Linked DNA regions of Macaca mulatta. The protein of the gene in region 1 interacts with the protein of each later gene in a pairwise test. Links are inferred from orthologs where the notes say so. Each region holds a gene or a part of one and is shown on either strand. Other genes may lie near its edges.

What was found.
Region 2: the proteins of TCHP (region 1) and KRT16 interact in binary tests that used the Homo sapiens proteins (3 or more experiments, as listed by UniProt). The link is inferred for Macaca mulatta from reciprocal best matches to the Homo sapiens genes TCHP and KRT16.
Region 3: the proteins of TCHP (region 1) and MKRN3 interact in binary tests that used the Homo sapiens proteins (3 or more experiments, as listed by UniProt). The two-hybrid records come from large-scale screens. The link is inferred for Macaca mulatta from reciprocal best matches to the Homo sapiens genes TCHP and MKRN3.

Annotation. Positions count from the first base shown.
Region 1 is NC_133416.1:117,070,006-117,074,258, forward strand, and holds part of TCHP (trichoplein keratin filament-binding protein), read left to right. Parts: intron 1-399; coding exon 400-456; intron 457-2,162; coding exon 2,163-2,231; intron 2,232-3,739; coding exon 3,740-3,913; intron 3,914-4,253. UniProt on the Homo sapiens protein: Tumor suppressor which has the ability to inhibit cell growth and be pro-apoptotic during cell stress. Inhibits cell growth in bladder and prostate cancer cells by a down-regulation of HSPB1 by inhibiting its phosphorylation.
Region 2 is NC_133421.1:65,946,798-65,951,492, reverse strand, and holds the start of KRT16 (keratin, type I cytoskeletal 16), read left to right. Parts: upstream 1-1,737; 5' UTR 1,738-2,069; intron 2,070-2,102; exon of another isoform or gene 2,103-2,146; 5' UTR 2,147-2,182; coding exon 2,183-2,716; intron 2,717-3,144; coding exon 3,145-3,227; intron 3,228-3,388; coding exon 3,389-3,545; intron 3,546-3,659; coding exon 3,660-3,821; intron 3,822-3,910; coding exon 3,911-4,036; intron 4,037-4,337; coding exon 4,338-4,558; intron 4,559-4,652; coding exon 4,653-4,695. UniProt on the Homo sapiens protein: Epidermis-specific type I keratin that plays a key role in skin. Acts as a regulator of innate immunity in response to skin barrier breach: required for some inflammatory checkpoint for the skin barrier maintenance.
Region 3 is NC_133412.1:6,385,781-6,390,634, reverse strand, and holds the start of MKRN3 (E3 ubiquitin-protein ligase makorin-3), read left to right. Parts: upstream 1-1,896; 5' UTR 1,897-2,005; coding exon 2,006-3,529; 3' UTR 3,530-4,854. UniProt on the Homo sapiens protein: E3 ubiquitin ligase catalyzing the covalent attachment of ubiquitin moieties onto substrate proteins.

The sequences.
Region 1 (4,253 bases):
CCCCTTCAGTCATTACATCTGAGTGCTTTTCCTTTCTTTCAGTTCTGTGGGCCCATAGAGATCTGGGAATAATCTGTTTTACCTTCCAAAGTAGTTATGTGAAACAGTGAGCCCTGATCTGTGCTTTTCAGCCTGCTGTATTATTTTGAGACCCCCTAGATAAGACCTCTGTGTAGCATCAGATTTTGGTCCCCTTTTGTCACCATTGCAAGAGTCACTTGGTAGTGCCCTGTGGTTCTTAGAGCTGTGCATGTGAAGCACAAGGGTTTGAACAGTGGGTGCAGTGACAGTATGAATGGAGGCACTCATAGCCTGAGCTGACTTCCACTGTGTGTCATCCAAAACGTGAATGGATTTGAAAACTGACATCAGGCTTTCCATTTTGTGTTTTCTCGATAGATTGCTGAACAACTTTTGTATGAACACTGGAAAAAGAACAACCCGAAACTTCGAGAGGTGAAAATCAGAGACCTCCATTGATTTGCCTAAGTAGATGAAATCATGTTTCCAGACATTTTTTTTTTTTTTAACACATATCTTGTACTGGGTTGAAACAGAGGAGGGAACCTTGAGCCACCTGAAAAGAGCGCCAGGCAGAAGATCTGGCACAGGCTGCACTGAGCGGTTCATTCAGTTGTTGAACAAATGTTGATTGAACCTCTGCTGCCTTTCTACCAGGTGGGGGCATGGGGATTAGACGTGGTTTCTGCTGTCTCCAGCACGGGAAACAGTGGATAGCTCATTACCAGGCAGGATGCAGGGTGCTGGGCCAGCCTGAGAGGATGATCATGGGCCAGCGCACTCAACTCTGGAGGGGTCGGGGAGGCTTCCCAGAGGGGTTCCTGGGGTGGAAGAGTTTGAAGGGATGTATGTGTGTAGAGGTGAGGAAAAGATGTTCTAGGTTGATGTGACTATGAGAACCAGGCCTGAGACTTGAGAGCAGAGTGAGCCCCGGGAGCTGAAAGTGTCTGGGTGAGGCTAGGATGTCAGATAGGGAGAACCCCAAGAAACGACGCCGGCGAGGCAGACGGTGCCAGACGCCATAAGAGCTTGTGTGACCTTCCTCTGAAGGTGCTGGGGGCGGCACACAGGATCCCGGCTGCATTTCAGAGAGATCCCTCTGGCAGCAGTGTGCCAGCTGGCAGGGAGGGGTGCTGCGACAGCCCAGCTGGGGGATGGTGAAGGCCTGAACTGGGCTGGCAGGGGAGAGGAGGACAAACTGCAGGAGAGGGGGTGGCCTCTTGGCTTGGTGGCCTTGTTCAGTGGAGATTTGGCTGCAGGGAGATCATCCCTCACTGTTACTAATTTATTTTCAACTTACAGTTTTTGTATACATTTGGTGCCTTCACGTTATTCGTAGTTACATTTAGAAATTGCCAGTCACTAAATAATGGAACATCTAGTGCTTTTGTGTAGTTTGCACTAATCTGTGGGGGGACTCCTTAGCCCTGTTGGCTTTGGTGGAATCATCTAGAGCCGTTAAATCAGAGAAGTTTATTCAGAACATTCAAGTTAGTTGCCTGTGTTCACAGCTCTAAGTTGGGAAAGATTATTGTAAAACTTTTTTGTAGAGACAGGGTCTCCCTATGTTGCTCAGGCTGGTCTTGAACCTGGGCTCAAGTGATCCTCCCACCTCAGCCTCCCGAGTAGCTGAGGCTACAGGTGGGCGCCTCCATATCCGGCTAATTTTATAAACAGTTTCCCAGACAAAAGATTTGGATTGAATGTTGTGATCCATTTTCTAATCCAGGAGATTCTCTGCGCTCAAATCTCTTACTAACAATCCTAAACTTGTTGCACCTACTGGCGCATCACTTGCTACAGGGAGCACATTTTCCATCTGCTCTGCAGAGCAAGCTTTGGGGAGCCAGACACAGAGTTGAGTCTTCTCCTCACCCAGCTGTCTCCCGGGGCCTGGCATGCAGGAGACCAACCCACGCTGGCCTGCGAAATTGTATTTCCATCTCAGCGTCCAGCTTAACCCCAGGGCTGGTGGGAAGGAAGTCTCTGTTACTTTGTACCAGCTCAGGAGACTGATGTAGGAGCGCCTGGTCCTTTGGTCTTCTGATTGACTTGCATTTACACTGTACGTGTTGAAGTCGCCCCACGCTCTCTACTGCATGCCTGTGAGGAGACTCACACCCGCCCCCTTCCATCCTCAGGTGGAGCTGGACCTTCACCAGAAGCATGTGGTAAACTCTTGGGAAACGCAGAAAGAAGAAAAAAAACAGGTGTGGTATGCGGCTCAGGGAATAGCCCCGCATTCTGCTGTGCAGGACTGTTGACACCTTTGAATTCCTTTACCGTTTTCAGCGTCAGTGACTCCAGTTAAGGAGTATAGTATACTCTTTCTCAGTTTACTTGACACATGTGAAAACTGAACGTTTGCTCTTACACATACCAGAATCCTATGTGATAATCCCAGGGCAGAATAAGGCCAGGTGACCAGGACTGGGAGGTGGCAAGTAGAGTATGCGTCTTCTTTTTTTCTTTTGGAGGCAGGGTCTTGCTCTGTCACCCAGGCTGGTGTGCAGTGGCGCAATTCACAGCTCAGTGCAGCCTCGACCAGCTGGGCTCAAGCAGTCCTCCTAACTCGGCTTCCTGAGTAGCTAGGACCACATGTGTGCACCACTGTGCCCAGCTAATTTTTTAGTTTTTGTAGAGATGGGGTCTTGTTCTGTTGCCCAGGCTGGTCTGGCCTCCTGGCCTTTTTTTTTTTTTTGAGACGGAGTCTTGCTCTCTCGCCCAGGCTGGAGTGCAGTGGCGCAATCTTGGCTCACTGCAAGCTCCGCCTCCCGGGTTCACGCCATTCTCCTGCCTCAGCCTCCCGAGTAGCTGGGACTACAGGCGCCCGCCCCTGCGCCCGGCTAATTTTTTCTATTTTTAGTAGAGACGGGGTTTCACCATGGTCTCGATCTCCTGACCTTGTGATCCGCCCACCTCGGCCTCCCAAAGTGCTGGGATTACAGGCGTGAGCCACCACGCCCGGCCATGGCCTCCTGGCCTTAAAAGATTCTCCCACCTGGGCCTCTCAAAGTGCTGGGATTAAAGGCGTGGGCCACAGGGTCCAGCTAGAACATGTGTTTTGTTTTTTGTTTTTTTTTTTTTTTTTGAGACAGAGTCTTGCTCTGTCGCCCAGGCTGGGGTGCAGTGGCCAGATCTCAGCTCACTGCAAGCTCCGCCTCCCGGGTTTAGACCATTCTCCTGCCTCAGCCTCCCGAGTAGCTGGGACTACAGGCGCCCGCCACCTCGCCCGGCTAGTTTTTTTTTGTATTTTTTAGTAGAGACGGGGTTTCACCGTGTTAGCCAGGATGGTCTCGATCTCCTGACCTCGTGATCCGCCCATCTCGGCCTCCCAAAGTGCTGGGATTACAGGCTTGAGCCACCGCGCCCGGCCTAGAACATGTGTTTTTAAGGGCTTTTTTGTCGCTCTTTTGATGAAATTTGCATCATAAACTCGCAGCCCTGGCTTCCAGTAGCCCCTTTGGGGTTGAGCTTCCACACCTCCGTGCACTGGTCGCTTTGCTGCCTGGTTCATTTTAGAAAGTGTTTTGTTGAGTGGGGAGGAAACCCAACATTATCAAGCCCCTCCCTAACTTGGTCTCTGAGGGCATTGTCATTTGGGATTCAGGCAGGATCTGCCTGGGCCCTGTGGCCTGCAGAACGGCGGCAGGAAGCTGGGTTTTTGTTGGCTTACAGTACAGATACTGACCTCCTGTGTTCATTCGGTCCCTTGTAGCAAGAAGCCACCGCAGAGCAAGAGAACAAACGGTACGAAAATGAGTATGAAAGGGCCCGAAGGGAGGCGCTAGAACGGATGAAAGCCGAAGAGGAGAGGAGGCAGCTGGAGGACAAGCTCCAGGCCGAGGCACTGCTGCAGCAGATGGAGGAGCTGAAACTGAAGGAGGTGGAGGTGGGCACAAGCCCCTCTCAGCCATGACCTCCTCCACAGCTGCTCGTTAGTGTGAGATGGGCACTTGAGGGGCTGCCCTGAGAAGAGCCATAGCAGGGCTGAGGTTCCGCAATGGGCAGCAGCAGCCAGCTTCTCCCGCTCCCACGCATCCCCTTCCGCCTCCTGCTTTCCCAGCCTCCACGCTTGCGTGCCTGGATTCCAGAACGTTAACAACACGGAGCCAGTAGCCGTTCTCTTAGAGGTGCTTAGCGGCCTGCTGTTGGAGAACCTTCTTAGAATCTGGATTTTCCAGTGCACTGAGTAGACACGATTTAGTCGGGTGGTCTGGCACCCGGCTCTC
Region 2 (4,695 bases), on another chromosome or scaffold:
CCCTGACATCTGAACACTGAGGTTTTTGTCCAAGATTCTGGGGTCCCCTTTGCCCCTCTTTGGGGTGGGGGTGGGGAGTGTCGGGTTCCCTCTCCCAGGTTTGGCTCTGAAGGCATGTGCATCCGTTCTGCTCTTACCTCTGGGGTGAGTGGCCAGGGGAGATGTAGCAGTGACAAAACGCTGGTTCTGCTGAGACAAGGAATTACCTGCCTCACTGGAGCTCAGGCAGAGGCAGGCCGTCTCTGGGCTCCTCACCTCAACGGAGGCACTGCAGAGCAAGGCCAGTGGCCAGCACCAAGGGACACCCCACAGCACCCCGAGGAGGCCCCGTCTTGGTGCTCCCTCATCCCTCCAGGCCTTGGTGTTGGATCAGGCTCTCAGGCCAAGGCCACACCCACTGTGGGCAGACCTTGTGCCAGTGACCGTGGGGAGGTAGGTGAGAGTCGGGTATACTGGCCCCACCTGCAGGCATGGTGGGAGCCTGGAGAGGGCCAGAGCTCTGGGTTCTGGTTTCAGCTCTGCAGCTTAAAGCAGAGTGACTTTGAGTGAATCTCCGCCTGTCTCTGGTTTCCCCTCTGTTCCCTCTGATCAAGAAAATGATGCAAATTTGAGATGCACAGAGAGAGGGCTCAGGGTGATGGAACTGGCTTAGGCAAGGAGAACAGGCAGGCAGGTTCACATCTCAGCTTCCAGTGACTGGTGTCTTGGAAAGCCCACTTACCCTCCCCGAATCCCAGCTCCTTCACCTGAGAACTGGTGTCAGGAATAACGCCCCCCTCATCCTCACTCACAGAACCGTACAGCACACACCAGGCTCTCCGTGCATGCCTGAGTGTGCCCATGACGAGTGCTCTCCCCCAGCTCAGCTGGATGAATGGAGCTGCCAGGTCCAGTCTGGGATCTGTGGACATGGGAAAGAGAACTGCTGGGAATGGATCCCCAGCCAGTCCTGTTTCTACAGGGTCGGGGACTCTGAGGCCCTTGGCGGAGTCAGGGGTCACACCTGGCTACAGTGGCAGGACGGGCTCCCTCCCATCAGCCTGCAGGTGGGGTGCCTGTGATTAGGAGAGGGCGGTAGAGGAGTGGAGGAGCTAGGTGTGGGGCTGTGGTGTTCTTCAGCTGGGAGTGTGGGGGGTGCAGGGTCCCGCGTAGGGGTGTGGGAGGGTGCCAGTGTGTAGAGGTGAGTGTGAGGAGCAGGTGGCTGAAGGGGCAGGATGGGGAGGCTGAGGGGCAGGGCTGGCCCTCAGGGAAGGGCCGGTGGGGTCCTGCGCGCATGTTTCTTTGTGGCTAGTGGTGTGTCATCCCCTTTTACACATGAGAAAACTGAGGACCAAGGGGTTATAGGACCGGCCTGTGCTATGCAGCTGGTAAGGGCAGAGCAGGGACTTGGTGCCGCCTGTCTGGCTCCATGGCCGGTGCTGTTTGTATGGTGCACACACTTCTGGAGATCCCAGGGGCTCCAGGCAGCCTCCAGAACTGGAATTACATCCAACAAGGGAAAGAGAGTCGTAGGATTTTTAGAACCAGAAGGGACTCTGCAGTCACCCAGTCTAGCCTTGTCACCACCGAGGGGAAACAGGCCCAGAGATGGGAGGTGGGGAGCCTCAGGCCACACAGCAAGCAGAGTGAAGGCACGAACTCTGCCCCTGCCCAGAGTGGGACATGTAGGATCCCCACAACTGCTCCCCAAGACAGCCCGGGATGGCGTCGCTGAGGTATCTTTCAGCCAAGGCTGTCACTGTGGGGCAGGGAGTTCTTCTGAAGGGCTGACTCACTGCCTGGGGACGCAGTTGCCACAAAGCCACCTGTGCCAAGGCCCCACTGGCCCTGAGGGCTCCAGGAACGGGAGCCTGATTCCCGGCTGCCTAGCCTGAGTCACCACCTACTTGCATTTGTGTGTTTTTCTCTCAGCCCCACACCCCCAAAGCTGGGTGGGAACTCCGAGCCGGCACACAGTGGAGTTGATCCTGGGCTGAATAATCCAGAGTGAGGAGTAGGACGGGACCGGGAGTGATGAAATCCGGAGGGGAACCCGGAGTCAGCAGTTAGGAGAGCCCCGCCTTCCCCAGGTGCATATAAAGGTCTCTGGGATTGGAGGCAGCCACAGCACGCTCTCAGCCTTCCTGAGCACCTTCCTTTCTTTCAGCCAACTGCTCGCTCGCTCACCTCCCTCCTCGGCACCATGACCACCTGCAGTCGCCAGTTCACCTCCTCCAGCTCCATGAAGGGCTCCTGCGGCATCGGGGGCGGCATCGGGGGCGGCTCCAGCCGCATCTCCTCCGTCCTGGCCGGAGGGTCCTGCCGCGCCCCCAGCACCTACGGCGGGGGCCTGTCTGTCTCCTCCTCCCGCTTCTCCTCTGGGGGAGCCTGCGGGCTGGGGGGCGGCTATGGCGGTGGCTTCAGCAGCAGCAGCAGCTTTGGTAGTGGCTTCGGGGGAGGATATGGTGGTGGCTTCGGTGGTGGCTTGGGTGGTGGCTTGGGTGGTGGCTTTGGTGGTGGCTTTGCTGGTGGTGATGGGCTTCTGGTGGGCAGTGAGAAGGTGACCATGCAGAACCTCAACGACCGCCTGGCCTCCTACCTGGACAAGGTGCGTGCTCTGGAGGAGGCCAACGCCGACCTGGAGGTGAAGATCCGCGACTGGTACCAGAGGCAGCGGCCCAGTGAGATCAAAGACTACAGTCCCTACTTCAAGACCATCGAGGACCTGAGGAACAAGGTGGGTGACTGGTGTATGGAGCAGAGAGAGAGGCTGGCACTATAGTGGCCCTTGGGATACCTCTTTTTAGCAATTACACTTTACAAACAGGGAGACTGGGCACCTTTGGAGAGTGGCCAGGATCACCCAGGGAAGTGGTGGCAGAGGGTCCTTTTCAGCATCTCTGTGCCCGGGCTGGGGCTGGAACCCTGAATCTCTTATTTCCTGCAAGGGTTCAGCTGCAAGTTCAGCTTCCCTGCCTTGGAACCAGGAAGGGGGTGATTGGGATGGAGTGTGTCCCTACATACCCTGAGCTGGTGGAGAAGGCAGCCCTGCCAGCCAGGAGACTTACAGATTTGGGGAGGTTCCTTTTGCCCCTTTCTGCCTTTCATGCTCAAGTAGTAAGGTCCTTGGCTGACCAGGGCTCCTGTCCTCCATCCCCACTCCAGATCATTGCAGCCACCATTGAGAATGCGCAGCCCATTTTGCAGATTGACAATGCCAGGCTGGCAGCCGATGACTTCAGGACAAAGTGAGCAGCCAACATGGTGGGCTGGGGGCAGAGGGCAAGGGACAAAGAGTGGGGCTCTGTCACTGTGGGGCAGGGAGTTCTGTCCACCCAGCAGGGCCAGCAGACCCCGAGCCTCAGAATCCTCAGGGCTGCAGCTGAGGACCTGACCTCTGTCCTGCCAGGTACGAGCATGAACTGGCCCTGCGGCAGACCGTGGAGGCCGATGTCAATGGCCTGCGCCGGGTGTTGGATGAGCTGACCCTGGCCAGGACCGACCTGGAGATGCAGATCGAAGGCCTGAAGGAGGAGCTGGCCTACCTGAGGAAGAACCATGAGGAGGTGCGGTTGCTGCTGGCTTCCGGGGTGGGAGGCTGGTTTGGTGGGGTTGCCAGATGCACCCAGGGCCAGGAGAGGAGTCTGCTGAGCTGACTGCCTCCTGCCATCCCTTCCCAGGAGATGCTTGCTCTTCGAGGTCAGAGCGGTGGAGATGTGAACGTGGAGATGGATGCCGCACCTGGCGTGGACCTGAGCCGCATCCTGAATGAGATGCGCGACCAGTACGAGCAGATGGCAGAGAAAAACCGCAGAGATGCTGAGGCCTGGTTCCTGAGCAAGGTGGGGCTCGGGCCCTCAGTGAGCCTGCAGCACTTCCCAGCCGGGGGCTTTGGGAGAGCCTCACCTTTCGTTCTGCTTTCCTGTCTCAGACCGAGGAGCTAAACAAAGAAGTGGCCTCCAACAGCGAACTGGTACAGAGCAGCCGCACTGAGGTGACGGAGCTCCGGAGGGTGTTCCAGGGCCTGGAGATTGAGCTGCAGTCCCAGCTCAGCATGGTATGAAGGACCCGGTACAGCAGCAGCCCCCAAGCCACCAGTAATGGCCACCACCCCCTCAACAAGCCACAATCTAGTTCCACCTTTCTTTTCTCAGGATGGGACCAGAGGACTCATGGGACCCATTATATAGACAGAGAAATTAAGCCCTAGAATAGTGGGCTAGCTTTTCTCCATATTGTCTGGCCCGTCAGTACCCCAACTGGGATCAAAATCCAGGCACCTCTCAAAAAGCATGCCCAGAGACCTGGAGGGACAGGAGTGACCACCTCCATTGACTCTTTCTCTCTTTCGCTTGCAGAAAGCATCCCTGGAGAACAGCCTGGAGGAGACCAAAGGCCGCTACTGCATGCAGCTGTCCCAGATCCAGGGACTGATCGGCAGCGTGGAGGAGCAGCTGGCCCAGCTACGTTGTGAGATGGAGCAGCAGAGCCAGGAGTACCAGATCCTGCTGGACGTGAAGACGCGGCTGGAGCAGGAGATCGCCACCTACCGCCGCCTGCTGGAGGGCGAGGACGCCCAGTGAGTCCCAGGCCCCCCAGTTCTGCCTCCCAGACCCTTTAGACCCCCTGTTGCTCTCAGCACAACTGACTGCCCTGCCTTTTCTCTCCCACAGCCTTTCCTCCCAGCACGCATCTGGCCAATCCTATTCTTCCCGC
Region 3 (4,854 bases), on another chromosome or scaffold:
AGTTAACTTTTAATGTTGTTATGAATGTTATTAATTTTAAATGTTTACTTCAAATGTTATTGATAAATAAAAATGATTTTCGTATATTGCACTCCTGTCCAGTGTCTTTGCTAAATGCACCTATTAAAGCTAATAGCTTATCTGTAAATTATTCTTAATTTTCTGTTGCATTCCATCAATAATTTATTTCCAGTTATAACATCTTTTATTTCTTTGCTATTACACTAGCTAGGACTTGCAATAATAAATACAGATTTTTTTGCCTTTAGATTTATTTCAGAGGGAAAGTTTTAGAAACCTTTTAGATAATTATCTAAATTACAGATGTAACAGATCCATATTCACATTTATTTCTGCTCCTGTCATTTTTACTAATAGATGTTTCCAGCAATATGACTATTTCATGTAAATTTTCAAGTTTAATGTCCTAATTTTGTTCCTGATATTCTCTAATGATTTTTAATGCCTGTTATTAATGTAGTGATAACATATTTGAAATTACTGATGTTGGTTATTACAGCCTTCTTCATTTTTCCTTGATAAGTTTCACCAGAAATTATCTGGCTTCAATAAGCTGTTTAAAGGATTTTACTTAATTTATTTCCCTTATTTAATATTTGTTTTTCTTCATTGCTTTTCTTGGCCTTATTATTTGCTTCATTCTGCTTTCTTTGCTTTTACCTACCTAATTATAATTTAATTTGTTGACTTGGGTGATTATAAATATTCAGATATGTTTCCACTTTACAGATTTAGGCAACAAAATTTCCTCAAAGAAACTTACAGAAAAAAAAAAAATCCAATAATATATAAAACGATATATCATGACACAGAAGGGCTTCTTATTAGAAACAAATTGGTCAGTTAAATATTTGAAACTCATAGCTGCAAATAATCACATTAAGAGAATAAAGGGAAAAACAAGATTATCTCAAAAAATATATAAAACTACATGACAGAATTCAGTATGCAGTCATGATACGTACTCTCAGCAAAGTAGGAATACAAAAAAATGATTAATCCACTACACGTATCTGCAAAAATGACAAAACGCTTATATATGGAAATTAAAGACCATTCCTTTGTGGATAGTATGCCACAACACAGCACAGATGGGGTTGAAAGAAAGCAAGAGAAACAAAGGGCTGCCATGAATTAAACCAGTAGAGAAAATAAAAGCCTGGGTCATGCAGGGGACAGTGCCTTATTCAGCCAGCATCAGGAATGATTGAAGTCTGGGGCTTCTACACAGTGGGAAAACGAGCATAGTAATCACAATAAAGAAAGACATCTGAAAGGTGCTAACTTAGCCTCGGATCAGAAGCGCTGTCTGCTAATGCCTTGCTGGTGAAAAGCGTATCCTGCGTAAGCCCTCAGAAATCCCAGAAAACAAAGACCAAAAGAAACGACGCTTTGTCAACAGAGCAAATCGAAAAAATCTTCCAGCAGTGACAGGGCATTAAAAAAAAAAAAACGCAGACATAAGATGGAGTGAATCAAAAAAGGATTTATCTAATTCATGTATGAAATGTTTCAGAATCTATTGGATTCTAATTTTTTTAAAGCAGACAGATACGAAAATACAACGAAGACGTGCATGACTGAAACCAAAAGAGATTAAAGTAAAACCTCATTCTCCTGAGGAAACGGTGTGAGGAGGGAATTAGGGGCTGCCGGAACACAGCGAAGCAGAGGCAGAAGGCAGACAAAAGGGGCTGGGTTGGTCCCTGCCTGTGTGAACAAAAAATATGTCAGATTGGAAAATTGCGGTAAAATCCAAGCGCGGCGCGTACGTTGCCCCCACAGGAAGTGTCCGCCGCGCTGCCTGTGCCCGGAAGTAGGTAGGAACACACAGTCACAGGCAGCCAAGAACCGGGGGGGAAGAAAAAGAGATGCACACTTCCCCTAGAGAAGCCTCCGAGCGCGGCCGCGACTCCGGGCCTCAAGCCCATAAAGAAAAAATACCGGAGACGTTCTGGCACCATTTCGGGGTAAAGAAGCTGCCATGGAAGAGCCTGCAGCTCCCTCAGAAGCCCAGGAGGCAGCCGGGGCCCAGGCAGGTGCTGAGGCAGCAGGGGAGGGTGTGTCCGGGCCGGACCTTCCCGTCTGTGAGCCCTCCAGGGAATCTGCTGCTCCAGATTCGGCCCTGCCACATGCGCCTGTGGGCTGGGCCCCCTTCCCTGTAGCTCCAGTCCCTGCCCACCTCCGCACAGGAGGCCTGAGGCCTGCACCAGCCTCAGGAGGAGGAGCATGGCGCAATCCGTTTCCAAGCCGAAGCAGCGGCATTTGGACAAAGCAGATCATCTGCAGGTATTATATACATGGGCAGTGCAAGGAGGGGGAGAACTGTCGCTATTCCCACGACCTTTCTGGTCGGAAGATGGCCACTGAGGGCAGCGTTTCGCCGCCTGGGGCCTCTGCAGGTGGAGGCCCTAGCACGGCTGCGCACATCGAGCCCCCGACTCAGGAAGTGGCGGAAGCCCCCCCGGCTGCATCCTCCCTTTCCTTGCCTGTGATTGGCTCGGCTGCTGAAAGGGGTTTCTTTGAAGCCGAGAGAGACAATGCAGACCGTGGAGCTGCTGGAGGAGCAGGTGTAGAAAGCTGGGCGGATGCCATTGAGTTTGTTCCAGGGCAGCCCTACCGGGGCCGCTGGGTTGCATCTGCCCCCGAGGCTCCTCCACAGAGCTCAGAGACTGAGAGGAAGCAGATGGCTGTGGGCAGGGGGTTGCGGTTTTGCTATTATGCTTCCAGGGGAGTTTGCTTTCGTGGGGAGAGCTGTATGTTCCTCCATGGAGACATATGCGACATGTGTGGGCTGCAGGCCTTGCACCCCATGGATGCTGCCCAGAGGGAAGACCATATAAGGGCCTGCATTGAAGCACACGAGAAAGATATGGAACTCTCGTTTGCTGTGCAGCGTGGTATGGACAAGGTGTGTGGCATCTGCATGGAGGTTGTCTATGAGAAAGCCAACCCCAATGACCGCCGCTTTGGCATTCTTTCCAATTGCAACCATACCTTCTGTATTAGGTGTATCCGCAGGTGGAGAAGTGCCAGACAGTTTGATAACAGGATCATCAAGTCTTGCCCGCAGTGCAGGGTCACCTCCGACTTGGTCGTTCCCAGTGAGTTCTGGGTGGAGGAGGAGGAAGAGAAGCAGAAACTTATTCAGCAATACAAGGAGGCAATGAGCAACAAGGCCTGCAGGTATTTTGCGGAAGGCAGGGGTAACTGCCCATTTGGAGACACATGCTTTTACAAGCATGAATACCCTGAGGGCTGGGGAGATGAGCCTCCTGGGCCAGGTGGTGGGTCATTCGGCGCATACTGGCATCAACTTGTGGAGCCTGTGCGAATGGGAGAGGGCGACATGCTCTATAAAAGCCGTAAGAAGGAGCTTGTCGTGCTTCGACTGGCCAGTCTGTTGTTTAAGCGGTTTCTTTTACTGAGAGATGAGTTACCCTTCTCTGAGGACCAGTGGGACTTGCTTCATTATGAGCTGGAAGAATATTTCAATTTGAATCTGTAGCATTGTGCTGTGGCATGTGGTCTAGTCTGCTGAGGTTCTGTCGTCTGCTATTGCCTGTTTTCCCTGTGTTGACACTCTTATTGCTTTCAGGGGCTGTTGAGGCAGTGCTTCTGTTTTCTTGTCTATTCTGCATATCTTTCCTCCTAGGATTATGGTGATTATCTGTGTTTAAAAAAATAAGTCCTTAAAGTTACTGTTTTGGTGAAATTAATATTAATGTCAGCTTATGGCTTTTTTTGTCATCTCTGTTTTCAACAGGATTAACTCAGTTCTAGTGTAGTGTTTACTGAATTTCCACACTTATTTTGAAGACCCTCAAGAGTAAATGTGGCAGAGTGAAAGGAGAAGTTTTAATTGAACTAGTAGCTTTGTGCTATAATAGCCTTAACAAATGGACCCTCGCAGGGTCTTGCAGCTGCTCATCTGTTTACAGTTTGTTCTTTCCCTCCTTCCCCTTCAAGTGCACTTGTTAAACTGTGATGAACTTGTGATTTTGTGTTTTACTTGACCAAAACCAAGTGTATATGTTTACATGTTTTTATCCTGTTTAGCTTGACATGAAATAATTTATATTTGGAAATATATATTTAAGAATGATATATATATAATATATATGTATAAGAGCTATGTATTTGAAAATATATATAAAAGAATATACATCACAATATTTATGTTTATGTAATAAAGTAAATACAGAGCCGAAAGCTGAAGGTCAAAGCCTAACAGGATTGGCTGTTGTGTGGATGTGAGTTGTGTGAATAATCATTCTGTCCCTTGCACAGAAGCCAGTAATTAGCATCTAATGAAAAGGACTGTTCAAGTGGGTCTGGCCAAATGTAACAGATGCAGATCTTAAGAGGACTTACAAAGCACTATATTGGTAATTCTTACAATGGCATTAATAGCTCACTCTATAAAAACAGAAATTGTGTTCCTACGCAGTTTTGCCACCTTCTCAATAATTCTTTGTAACAGCAAATCCTAGGCTCAGAGGCACAGTGCTTTGTATTTGATATACAAAGTCTCTAGACTTTCCCAACAAGGGGCTTTAGACAAAAGATTTCAACATAAAAGTAACAAGATTATAAAAGGGAAAATAGAACAAAAATACTAAAACCAGTGAGAATAAAATAATGGAAAGATAATAAAATATAGAAAGCACTAAAAACTAAGTGTAAGAGTAATATAGAAAATTTACATACAACTTAGATTAAATGAAAGCAGTTTAAAGACTGAAAGTCAAAGGCTATAAGACTTCATTACAATCAAAATGAAACATCCTATTTAAAATACACACAACATAAAAATACAGAAGCATTCAAAGT